Linked DNA regions of Callithrix jacchus. The protein of the gene in region 2 binds, or shares a complex with, the protein of the main gene of each other region. Links are inferred from orthologs where the notes say so. Each region holds a gene or a part of one and is shown on either strand. Other genes may lie near its edges.

Evidence for each region.
Region 1: APOOL (region 2) and CHCHD6 share a complex: the UniProt entries of both Homo sapiens proteins name them as parts of the mitochondrial contact site and cristae organizing system (MICOS) complex. The link is inferred for Callithrix jacchus from reciprocal best matches to the Homo sapiens genes APOOL and CHCHD6.

The regions. Positions count from the first base shown.
Region 1 is NC_133516.1:76,404,908-76,411,034, forward strand, and holds the end of CHCHD6 (MICOS complex subunit MIC25), read right to left. Parts: intron 4,602-6,127; coding exon 4,466-4,601; intron 2,035-4,465; coding exon 2,029-2,034; 3' UTR 1,826-2,028; downstream 1-1,825. UniProt on the Homo sapiens protein: Component of the MICOS complex, a large protein complex of the mitochondrial inner membrane that plays crucial roles in the maintenance of crista junctions, inner membrane architecture, and formation of contact sites to the outer membrane.
Region 2 is NC_133524.1:82,582,587-82,588,721, reverse strand, and holds part of APOOL (MICOS complex subunit MIC27), read right to left. Parts: intron 2,089-6,135; coding exon 1,975-2,088; intron 1,781-1,974; coding exon 1,663-1,780; intron 1-1,662. UniProt on the Homo sapiens protein: Component of the MICOS complex, a large protein complex of the mitochondrial inner membrane that plays crucial roles in the maintenance of crista junctions, inner membrane architecture, and formation of contact sites to the outer membrane.

The sequences.
Region 1 (6,127 bases), on a different chromosome or scaffold from region 2:
CTTTGTGGAGCTCAGAGGCCAAAGAGATCTTTTCACTCCTCTCAGGCCAACTGCAATCTGACCTGACTGGCTACCAGAGAATTAAGGGACCCGGGGCTGCGGGCAGAGGATCAGGAAGTGTTTGCTCCTGGAGGCTGGCTCTCTGGCTGTGTGGGAGCCTGAGAGTGGAGCCCAAAACTGGAGCCCCATCTTGCCTGGAGGAGGAGGGGCCATTTAGAGGAAACCATGGCCCCATTGGCCACTGGACATGGGAGGCCATTTAGGGTCACAGGTCTGTTGGCTGACCTGAGTGGGCCTGGGCCGCAGGCTCCACCCAGCAGAATCATGAGCCACATAAAGCAGGTGTTGTTTTAAGCTACGTGGTCTGGGGGTGGTTTGTTACCCAGACAGAACGAGCTGGTACAGGCTCAGGCAGCGTCCAGCCCACAGGTGTCTGTGTACCTGGGAGTCCCTGTTTCCCACCCCAAGATGCATCCCTAACACCTAAACTGATGCCTGGAGAAGAGAGGGATAGCTGAAAGTTATTCCTGTGAGACCTGAAGTTGGAAAAAGTCTGGGAAGCCAAAAGCTTCTGAGGGAGTGACAACAGCATGGTGGATAAGCTGGACCTGTGACCCCTCACCCCTCCTCTTAGTAGGCCCCTCCCCAAAGGGCTCAGGCCAGGGTGCCCTGTGCATCCCACCTCTCCCTGCTGATCACACTGCATGGAGCCTCCTGTGCATTTCCACAGGCTGACCTGGGACTCCTAGAGAGGGCGTCTCCTAGAGCTGTCTGCCTGGCTGCTGGTATGCTAAGCCAATAGGACACACCCAAGCCCCAACCCACCCCTTGAGCTCTGAGTGTAAGAATCTGGGAATGAGCAGGGAAGTTTGTGCTGCCAAGCCCGAGTCGAGACTACAGGCTTTTAGCTCCAGATGGCATGGGGACTCCCCAAGGGCTCTATCAGGAAACCCAAGGTCACCAGCAGAGCAGTTAGAAGATCCCAAGCTCTATCCCAAAATTCTCCTGCTGGCATGGCACAGGCTGAGTGTGGTCAGGGCACCTTGGCTGTGGGACACGGCCAGAGGTCAAGGTTTGGAAGGCCAGTGTTTGGACACCAACAAGCAGAGCATATGCCAAACCCACTTTGTCATCTGCTCTCCTCAATCTCTGCATTCCTTATTTTAGGAGAACCCTCAACACTCAAGTCAGAGACTTCAAAGTCACCTGCATCTTCTTTACTCAGTCAGATTCAGTTCTCCAGTGAGCCCCGCTAACCCTCCCTGGGCTTGAGCTGCGCAGGGCCCTTCACACTGGTGATGCTCCCTAGTGCCAAGTCCTGTCTCACTGACACCCTCCACCTGAGAGCCAGAGCAATGTCACTCAGAGACAGTGCCAGCTCAGCCTGGCACACTCCAGCCCTGCCACTTCTGTAGCCACGCCGCCTGCCTGCCTTGCTCACCTTTGCTCTTCTCCACTGCCTGCTGCTCTCATACCTGGGGTCCACTCTGCCGGGTCTCTGGCCTGCCCTGCCCTCGTCTGGTCACCTTCCGCCCTGGGCGTAAGCAGCACTGCCCCCCCCCCGCCCCCGCCCAGCAGGAAGCTGACCTGCTCTCCCTCTGTGCCATCCCTAGAAAGGCCTGCTCCCACTTCCTTCTCATCCCTGCTTCTGTGGTAGCCTGCTGCTGCTGCGATGTATCTGGGGGTTCCCAGGCCATCTCCCTTGCCAGGCCAGGGACTCCCCGAGGGAAGCAGCCCGTCTTCCTCAGCCCTGCTTCACTGGTGTCCAGCAGAGGGCTGGACACAGAGTGGGCAGCAGTGATTGGCTGCCAGTGAGTCAACAACGGAAAACAAAGGCGTCTGCTTTATTTGTTTTCAGACTGTAGCGTATAGTTTGTTTCCTAAACACATGGCAGCCCCGCTCAGGGCCCAGCAGGACATGGCGGGGCACGGTGGTTGTGGCCTAGCGCTCTGTGGGCTGTGGTCCCATGATTGGTCCCTTCTTCAGGGCTCCAAGTCACTGCCAGGACAGGGAATGATGTCTGCTCCTCAGCCCTACAAAGAGAACAGGTCAGCGTTCAGTCACGGCCCACTCTGCCCATGCCCTCAGGGCTCCATGCAGACTGCCCTGGAACAGCAATCGCTTCCTGGGGAGCAGCTGTGAGTCAGTCTCCCTCCTCGCCTTGAGACCCAGCACTGAGTCTCTTCACCTCTGTGCCCCAGAGCCGAGCACAGTCCCCAGCAGTGGGAGACAGGCCCTGCCCCCGTTCAGTGTTTCTGACAAGCACCTTGAGTATAGAACAGTATAAAACTCTGCTCTCCCTCACCAAGGCATCCCCTCTGTTCTCTGATTTTTCACAGCTCAGCGGGAGTCTGCTGGGACACGGGGGCCTGCACAGTCAGGACCCTGCTATGGAGAGCCCGAAGCCCCTGCCCTTGTTTGAGACACCCTGTACATCCACACACAGGCAGGCGCCAGGCTCTGGGCCTAGGCATCACCTAGCTGCCCTAGGAGCCCCAGGGCAGATGCTAGATCCTGGGGAGAGAGGCAGTGCTGCCCCACCCTAGGTCCTTGACCATGTGGGCCCCTCCCAGAAGCAAATCCCTCTTAGGGACCCTTCACTCCCCGCTCTCTGGCTCTGCCAGAAGCCTTCTGAGGTGGAGACGGGAGAAAGGTGGTGAAAGTTTCTCCAGCACTCGCCACATCTCACACACAGGTGCCACCCAAGTGCCTGGGTGCAGGGGCTCCGAGGGAGTCGGGTTGAACATGCTGTCCCCAAATGCACACACGCTGCCAAGGCAGCACAAGGGATCCAGACAGGCCTCTGGCACTGCCGTTGCTTAGTCTCCAGATTTTGCTAGTCAGGTCAGGGGTAGGGCCGGGAAGGAGGGAGCCAGGCCTGGCAGTGTCCCAGAGCCTCTCTCAGGGAACACACTGGAGTTTAATGTAATCTGTCTTCCTTGGTAATCACATTTTTGCCTTGGTGCAAGGAAGATACATTGGTGAGGTGTGTTTGTTAAAGAAATACTCTTGGGGGTGTTGGGTAGGGGCTGAAAACTACCACATAGGTGGGGCCGGATGGAGAGAGGATGGAGTCTAGGGCTAGCCGCTGAAGGATGGGCCCTGCCAAGAAGCCAAGAGGCTGCGGCAGATCCCTCAGTAAAGAGTTAGGTGTGTAATGAACAGGACTCAAAGCTGCCCTTGATAGGATGTGGGGAAGGATCTGGGGGTTTCACCTTGCTAATGGGTAGGGAGCTAAGTGTCTTGTCGGTGTGAAGGGCCCTGGTCCGGCCCAGCCTACCCAGTGCCCCAATGCCTCCTGCTCATGTGGAAGCAGAGCAAGCAGCCTTCCATGGTCTGAGACAGAGGAGGAGGCTGCCTGTCCTAGCCAGGGCTTCCCTCTCTTGGAAGGCTGACAGAGGCCCGGCGTCCACTCAGCCTATATGGAGCTACCTCTGGGCTGTGCTCTGGCCATGAAGGGTCAGGTGGTGCTGGATGGGGCTGTGACCAGCCCAGGGTGGAACAATCAGCTTCGCAGATGGTTGTCAGCAGGACATGGCCCAAGGAAGCTCTCACAGGCCCAGGGATGCAGGACCCCGCTCAGTTCCGTGCGAGAGATACCCGCTCAGACATGGCTGGAGAGCAGAGGGTGTCTGGCCTCAGCCTTTTCCACCTCAAGTACCTAAAGCAGCCTGTTTCTTACTCAGGCCAAAGAGGCTTTTCTGTGGAAAGAAAGACCTCATCCTATTGCTTTTCCCATACATTTTCACAAACAGGCCGCACTCCTCAGGGAGCCTAAGCCAGGTGCCCTGAGAGTGCATGATGCTCCCCAAAGTGGGAGCTGTCCTGTTGGGGTGGGGCAAGGGCGAGGTGTAACTGGAAACAGCCTGACGTTGTGGGACCTGGAAAGGGGAAGGATTTATCTAGGATAGAGAGGAGCAGCTGGGGGTGGGGGAGGAAGACAGTAGAAGCTGGCTGGGAGTGTACTGCAGGCCCACTGGAGTAGGGGGTGACCAGAGAGCACATGAGACCTGGGACCACATACAGGGAAGACCGAGCCAGCATGCTCCTCCAGACCAGTGGCAGGGTTGTGGCTGCGGGCAGCTCCTGATGGCCGCGCCGGCTCCCACTCCATTTTCAGATGGCCCATCCTTGCTGAGACCCCCACTCTGCACTTGGGCCTCCACCATGCTCCCACTCCTAAATGCTGAGGGCTAAGAAGGTCCAGCCTAACAGGGCAAACTCCACAGGGATCATCTCCCCGGGCAGATGTGCAAGGCGCTCCTGGAAGCAGGCTGGTGTGCACCAGGAGGTGACTGAGGAAAGCAAAGACCCGAGAATCCCTCCCTTGGTATATGCAGAGACCTCCAGGTGGAGCATCTGACTCTAGCAGGAATAGGCAGGCAGAGATCTCCAATGCTAGATAGAGGTACCTCCTCCACCTCCCACAGCCCCTGGAAACCTGGGAGGGAGGTGAGGCCTTACCTTGTGGGCAGTACTCACACACCGCTGGTATGCCTTGACCAGGTCTGAGCACAGCAGCACCTCATGCAGGCGATCTCGGTAGCATTGGAGGATCTGGGCCTGCAGCCCTGAGCAGACGGGCTCCACCCTGCGCGGCCTGCAGAAGACAAAAGCAGGCAGTCCTGGGGCTCGTGTGCCAGTGGGCAGGGGAGAGAAACAATTCACATTCACTCCACCTACCTGCCAGGCACTAGGCTAAGCCCCTGACACCCACCAGTATCCTTTTAACCCTCAGAGAGAAGCACTGTGCTTTCCCATTCTAGAAATGAGAGGACAGCTGCAGGTCAAGCCCTGTGGTCAGTGGCTTAGGCTCACAACACAGCAGACACTGAAACGGGCTGTGGGTCTGGGGCTTCACACTGGGCTCCTTTGCTGGGGCCTGAGCACCTCCAGGAGGCAGGAAAGTCCATGAGCTGACTCCCACTGGAGGGCCCCATGAGGATGGTGTAGCTCCTCTCCAGGACAGCCATCCTGCTATGCCTGGGACAACCTGCCTTGCTGCGCCGAGGGTAGCCGTTCCTGCTGCACCCAGGTCAGCTGCTTTCCTCTGCCTGTGGTTTACCCATGGCTGTAACCATGTAACTTATTTTTTTTGCTGATTTAAAACTAATATGTGTGAGGGAAGGAAGATGAAATCTATAGAAATGTCTAAAGAAATGAAAAATATTCTTCTTCTCACTTCTTAGAGGTAACCACAGTAATATTTTAGGGGCAATTTACTATTTTTTTCCTTTCCTTTTCAAAGTAGTTTTATAACTCACAAAAGTGAGTAAGTTCACTTTCTAAAATTATGGGAAAAAAAGAGCAAATACAGATGACACTAAAGTCAGTCAGCGGCCCAGCCTCCTGGGCGTAATTTCCGATTGGTTGGTCTCCTTCCACACACACTCAATCTCACACACTCACACACGGACACACACAGCAGCACATTTGCACACTCTGCTGGCCAGGCACACACACAATCTCACACACTCGCATACTGACACATACAGACAGCACATTTGCACACTCCCTGCTGGCCAAGCACACAAACACTCCATCTCACACACTCGCACAATGACACACAGCAGCACATTTGCGCACTCCCTGCCGGCCAGGTGCATATACACTCAATCTCACTTGCACACTGACACAGCAGCACATTTGTGCACGCCACTCTGGCCAGGCACATACACACTCAATCTCACACACTCACACACCAACACAGCAGCACATTTGCACACTCCATGCTGGCCAGGCGCACACACACTCAATCTCACACACTCGCACATCGACACAGCAGCACATTCGCGCACTCCATGCTGGCCAGATGCACACACACTCAATCTCACACACGCGCACACCGACACAGCAGCACATTCGCGCACTCCATGCTGGCCAGGTGCACACACACTCGATCTCACACATTCGCGCACTCTATGCTGGCCAGGCGCTCACACACTCGCGCACCGATACAGCAGCACATTCGCACACTCCATGCTGGCCAGGTGCTGTCCTCAGGCTGCTGCACGTGCTCAGTGCTGCTCCTCACGGCGCTGGCAGCAGATACTATCTTTCACCATGCTAGTCCCACAAATGAGAAGCTGAGGCTCAGAGAATTAAGGCCATGCAGCTGGACAGTGG
Region 2 (6,135 bases):
AACTAGTACAAATGTTGGATCCAACAGAAATTTATTTCTCATGGTTCTAAGGACTGAAATTCTGAGATCAGGGTGTCAACATGGTCAGGTTCTGGTGAAGGTCCTCTTCTGGCTTGTAGACAGTCTAGTTCTCAATGTATTCTCACATGGCAGAGAGTAGAGGAAAGTAAGCTCTCTCAAGATTCATAAGAGCACTACTAATCCCAGTCATGAAGGCTCCACCCTCATCACCTCAACTAATTCTAATCACCTCTCTGTTGTTTACAAGTCACCCAGTCTATGGTATTTTTTACGGTAGCTCAAACTGACCAAGGCATATATGATAAGAATGAATAGCACTGGCATCTCTTTCTCCCTCTGCATTATCTCCTTAGAATGCTTTTCATATACCACATCACCCAAGACAGGCAATAAAGAGTTCCATCATCCAGATGTGTGAAGAAGACATTAGCTCGGGAAGGTTTTGGTCCCACTTTTAAGCTGTAGTATGCTTCATCTTCACAAAGATACTCTGTAATTAACTAGCATTTGGGAAAATGACCATATATTATATTCTTGTGAGAATATGGTCACCTGTAGATTATTCAGAGACTCTAAAAACTGTATAACTTGTCTTGATTAGGAAGGAGAGAGGACAGAGGAAAATAATAAAACTCAAATCAGGTTTGTTATTCAATGAGATTTTGTATAAAGATTAAGTGAGAGAGGAGGAGACTGAAATTAGAGACTAAATTCCAGTTTTAAATTAGATAATCTATACACAATGGAAAGAGCTTGTGCTTTGATGTCAAGAAGATCTAGGCCAGAAACACAACTCTGCCACTCACAAGCTCTATGAATCAGGGCAACTTATTTTAGCTCCCAGAGTCTCAGTCTCTTCATCATAAAATGGGAGTAATTACTGATCCAGCAGAGGTTTTTGTTTTACTTTGTGGGTAAGGGCTGAATAACACATTTCTAGCTCTCTGCATTACAGTATGTGCTTGATAAATGGTGGATACTATTATTATTCCCCAACCTCTGAGTTAGTCACCTTTCCTCTGCAGTAAGACAACTTCATGGGTTTTACCATTCACATTGTACATACAGATACAACTATGCAAATCAATATGAATACATTGTCAAAATGGTATCAAACACTGTCACCTTCTTTTTGATCACAGTAAAATCATAGTAGTGTTTTCTTAGAAAGCATAATTGTCACTGTTTGGTTCCACAGAGTACTTATTGCCAGTATGGAATACTAGGAACATTACAAGTCTTAAGATTGACAGGTAAATAGCACAAAAAATGGAAGCTTACATTTCTTTATGTAGGTGTGACTCATACCTTTAAAATTATAGAATCTAGAAAGGCTCATTTTCCCCGACCTGATAAAATAGCTCATACTTATAACGTTATATGAAATGTTTCACCCAATCAACCTGTCAGTGCTACTCTATATCCTCACATACAAAGATCTATATTATGAACTATGTGGTAATTTAAAACAATCCCAGGCACCTAAGTACCTCATAACCTAAAAAGAAATGCAAACCACAGATACAAGAAAGACCAAATATTTACTGAGAAAACACATCTGTAAGTTCAAACCACTAATGATAATGCTATCAAATTATTTAAGAAAAGAATGAAAATAAAACTGAATTATTCCCAACAAACCTGAGGTGGATACTGATTTGGTCTTCGCTTCAGAGCTGAGTTCTGCTGGCAAAGGCACTGAGTGTTTCAAGACATGAGTTGTTTTTGCAAATGCTTCTATTTCGGCAGAGGATCCTAGCTGTTTACCAAAAAGATTTTTCCTTGATAAGTACATCATTTTACTAAGAGAATAAAATTTCTTTAAAAATTATACCAAATTCCTTCATGTACTTTCTTATTTTATCCTCGACCTCTGTCCAGTACCCTCATTACAAGCCAACACCCACCCAAACAAAAATCAATATGGACCGTCTTGTTCCATTTAAACTTTACCTTAGTTTTTTCCTTAGGCTGAGGAAGTGACTCTTTTTTGTTGCTTTTTGTCCACAGTGATTTAACTGTTTCAAAAGTTTGCTGGCTTGTAGCATATATCTTTTTCCCTGTTACCTAATTAAAACAAAAAGGAAGTCAAATAACATATATTTTTAAAAGTTAAAATAAAAAATGCATTTTAGATTTGTCAGGTATTTTATATGAACACTCAGGTAGGAATCAATAAAGATATAAATCTCTAAATCATATAACACAAAGCACCATTTCTAAAATCCTATGTGAAAAAACTGTTGTGTCATGCAAAGGGCTATAAGATATGTATACACTGCAAATGTTTATACATATGCAAAATGCAACATATAAATCTAAAATGTAACATAAATCTAAAACTATGTCTACATTATTTTTAAAATTTTTTTCAGCTTTATTGAGATTAGGTTGACATATAAAAAACTGTATCTATTTAAGGTATATAACATGGTGATATAAGTGAAAACTGTAATAAACAGGAGTTTTGGGAATAAACTGCTGACTGAGAAAATTAGATTTTTAACATGCTACAAAGTTAATGCTTTTGCTTAAAATTTTATGGTGCTTTCTCCATTCATAAAGAAATAAAAAGCATCAGCTAATTCTTCCAAAGAATATTATTCTTTTTGGTAGAAAGGTAAAATAAACAATGATCAATAAACATACTCAAGCAGAGGCTGGGATGCTCACTGAATTCCTAAAGTTACTGTTATTTTCATTCATCTATCTTTCTCTTTGAAAATCTACTTCTGATTTCTTCTTTTTTCCTATTCTTCTCCAATCCTTTTGTTCATTATGGTTAAAGTAATTTCAACAGCCATTGATTTTTCAAGTTTCAAAGATGTTTTGAGGGGCTTTCCAGGATTACAATTTCTACAAACATATTTGTTTTAAAAATTAGGTTTCCATCCTCAAATAGAAATATTTTTATTGTTTTTACTAAGTATATACCTATACTTGAAAAGTAATACAGTAGTATAAAGAAATTCCTCCTCTTCCCCAAATACAACCTTTGTTAACAGTTATACCTATATTCTTCCTGAATTTTTACTCATATATACATTAAATATATACAAACAAATTTTAAAACAAATGCAATGTTAACATTTATAGATCTTTCAAAAAAGATGACGTAGATCTATATGTACTGGCATGAGTGGAAGTTCATGATGAACCACTAATTTGAAAAAGGTACAGAATAGATTATATAATATAATCTCAATTATGTTTTCAATTAAATTTTCAAAATAAATTACATATGTATTTAGTTTGTTTTCCTTTTTAAATACAAATGAGATCACAGTAAACATATTATTCTGAGATATGATTTTTTAAAAGCTTGACAATATTTCCCAGGTATGATTCTACATTACTTTATATACTCATAGATCTAATTTTTAAAATTGCTGCTTGGTTTAGTATTCTATAATGGATGTGCCACAATTTGTGAAACAAATTCCCTATTGAGGCACAATGATTTAACAGATCCCCTGTTGGTGAGCATAGGGGCTGTTTTCTTTTTGGGGGTAGGGGGATGGCAAGTATAAGCAATGATGAAATTAGCATCATTATACATACAACTGGGACCATAACCTTTATGGTATTTCCTCAGGATACATTCCTAGAGTTGAAATTTCTGCACTGAAGAGTATACACACTAATTTTTGACAGTATTACCATGTTGCTCTCCAGAAAGTGAGCAATATACTGCAGCAATTTACATTCCCACCAAGAGTATAAGTCTGTTTTCCTACCCTGTTTACTAGCAGTGATATTATAAGTCTTCTAAATCTTTGTCAAATTGAAAGGCTAAAAACCAGTATCTAAATGGTTTTCCAAATCTGCATTTATTTGATTGCTAATAAAATCAAGTATCTTATATATATATTAGGCCATTTATGTTTCTTACTATATAGATTGCTAGTTGGTGTTTTTTTCTTCATTTTCCCAGAAGGCACATTCATCTTTTGCTCATTGATTTATAGGAGTTCTTAATACATGAAGGATATTCATACTTTGTCATATATGTTACAAATAGTTTTCCCAGTTTTTCACGTATCCATTAACTTTGTGTATGGTATTTTGTAATCTACCGAAATGTATTAATTTTGATGTAGTCAAATATGTCAACTTTTTCTTTGATGGCTTGTATATTATATCTTGCTTAAGAAAGCCTTTCTTATCTCAAAATTAAACAGGTATTCCTCTTTTTCTTCTCATACTTTTTATAGTATTCTAGTTTATGGTTAGATCTTTATTCCACCTAGAATTAGTGTTCCCATGATAGTTGGTAAAGGTCTGACTATTTTTCCAAACAGCCAATTATTTCAACACATTTCTTGAAAAAACAATCCATCCTTTCCCTTACACACTGATCTGAAATGCCATCTGTACCACATATCAATTCTCTACCCAATTGTGTACAAAGATATACTCAATATAATTTTTTGGATATTCTTTTTTGTCCTCTTGATCTATTTTACTGTCTATGCTATAGTAACCAATACACAGTAGACAGACAATAAATACTATGTGCATGAATGTTATACTCCATTCAAATACAGGACTTTTGTAAGAACTGAATTAAATTTCTAGATTTTGAAACACTTGCCATATTTGAACACTTAGTCTTTTCATCTAGAAACAGGATATATCACCAAAGACATTCAAGATTTTTTGTTAAACGACCTTCACATATAAGTGAGATCAAACAGTATTTGTCTCTCTGTGTCTATTTTATTTTACTGAGTATAATGCCCTCTGGGTTCATCCATTCTGTTGCAAATGGCAGAATTTCCTTTTCTAATGGCTAAATAGCACTCTGTTACATATGTGCAACACATTTTCTTTATTCTTTTATCCATTGAGAGACACTTAGGTTGTTTCTAATCTTGACTATTGCAAATAACGCTGCAATGAACATGGAAGTACATGTATCTCTTCAAGATACTGATCTCATTTTTTTTTAAATATATACCCAGAAGAGAAGCAGAAAGTAGAATGGAGGTTGCCAGGGGATAGGGGTGAGGTAAATGAGGAGATGTTGGTCAAAGGGTACAAACTTTCAGTCATAAGATGAACAAGTTCTGGGTATATTATGTGCTGCAAGGGTGGTGATGGATGTGTTAACTCAATTGTAATAATCATTATATAATGTATATGTACATCAAGTCATCATGTTATACACCTTGAATATATTTGATCTTTATTCATCAATTAAATATTGTGAAAATTTAAAAATGCCCTTCCATAAAGTTTGATAGTCTTTTTCCTTTTAAATAGGCCTTAAAACATTATTTGGTTAGTTTATTCCTAGATATTTTATAGTTTGCAAGATAGACTACTTTCTTTTGACTACTTGTTACTCTTTACATAAGTTAACAAAAATATTGTGAGGAAAATTATAAAAAGCAAACAGTAATTCCATCTTGAAGTATATTTTCAAAATGGTGAATAACTGGAGTGAGACTTCCATTTTTCAAAGACCTTCTGGACTAACATTTCTTAAACTTTTTAATATCATAGATGCCTTGAAGAAGCTCCTGAAAGCTATAGGCCCTTTCCTTCAGGAAAATAGAGACACAGTTTAAAAGCTCTCATCTGACATCCTTTTAAGAGACTTGACTAATAAAACTTTTTAAAAATTTATTATAAATGATGTTTGTAGAATGATGAATATTCATTCCTATCAGGTGCTCTCCAATATGCCAAGGTATTATCTTTCACAATTTGATTAGTATGCTTGTCAAAAATAACTTGCTTTTTTCCTCAAGTTGCTACATCAGTTTTACTTGTAATTAAACAGTCTAAATGTAACATAATATGATAAAATATGAGTGTAAAAAGAATTATTGTTTCTAGGAAAATTAAGTTAAATGCTTCATAAAGACTGAAATATGAATGGCTAAAAAAAAATAACTGCTATGAAAACTAGACAGGAGTAAGACAATTATAACAGATGGGAGAAATATAAACTAAATCCATCTGAAAGGATTCTGCACTAATCATTTTTTTAATGTTTTTAACTGTTCATTCTATTTTAAAGGAAGCTAATCTGGAAATTATAAAAGACATATTACAGATATGGCTTATGGTTAGAATGATGTTATGGATCTTTAACCAGGAAACCAA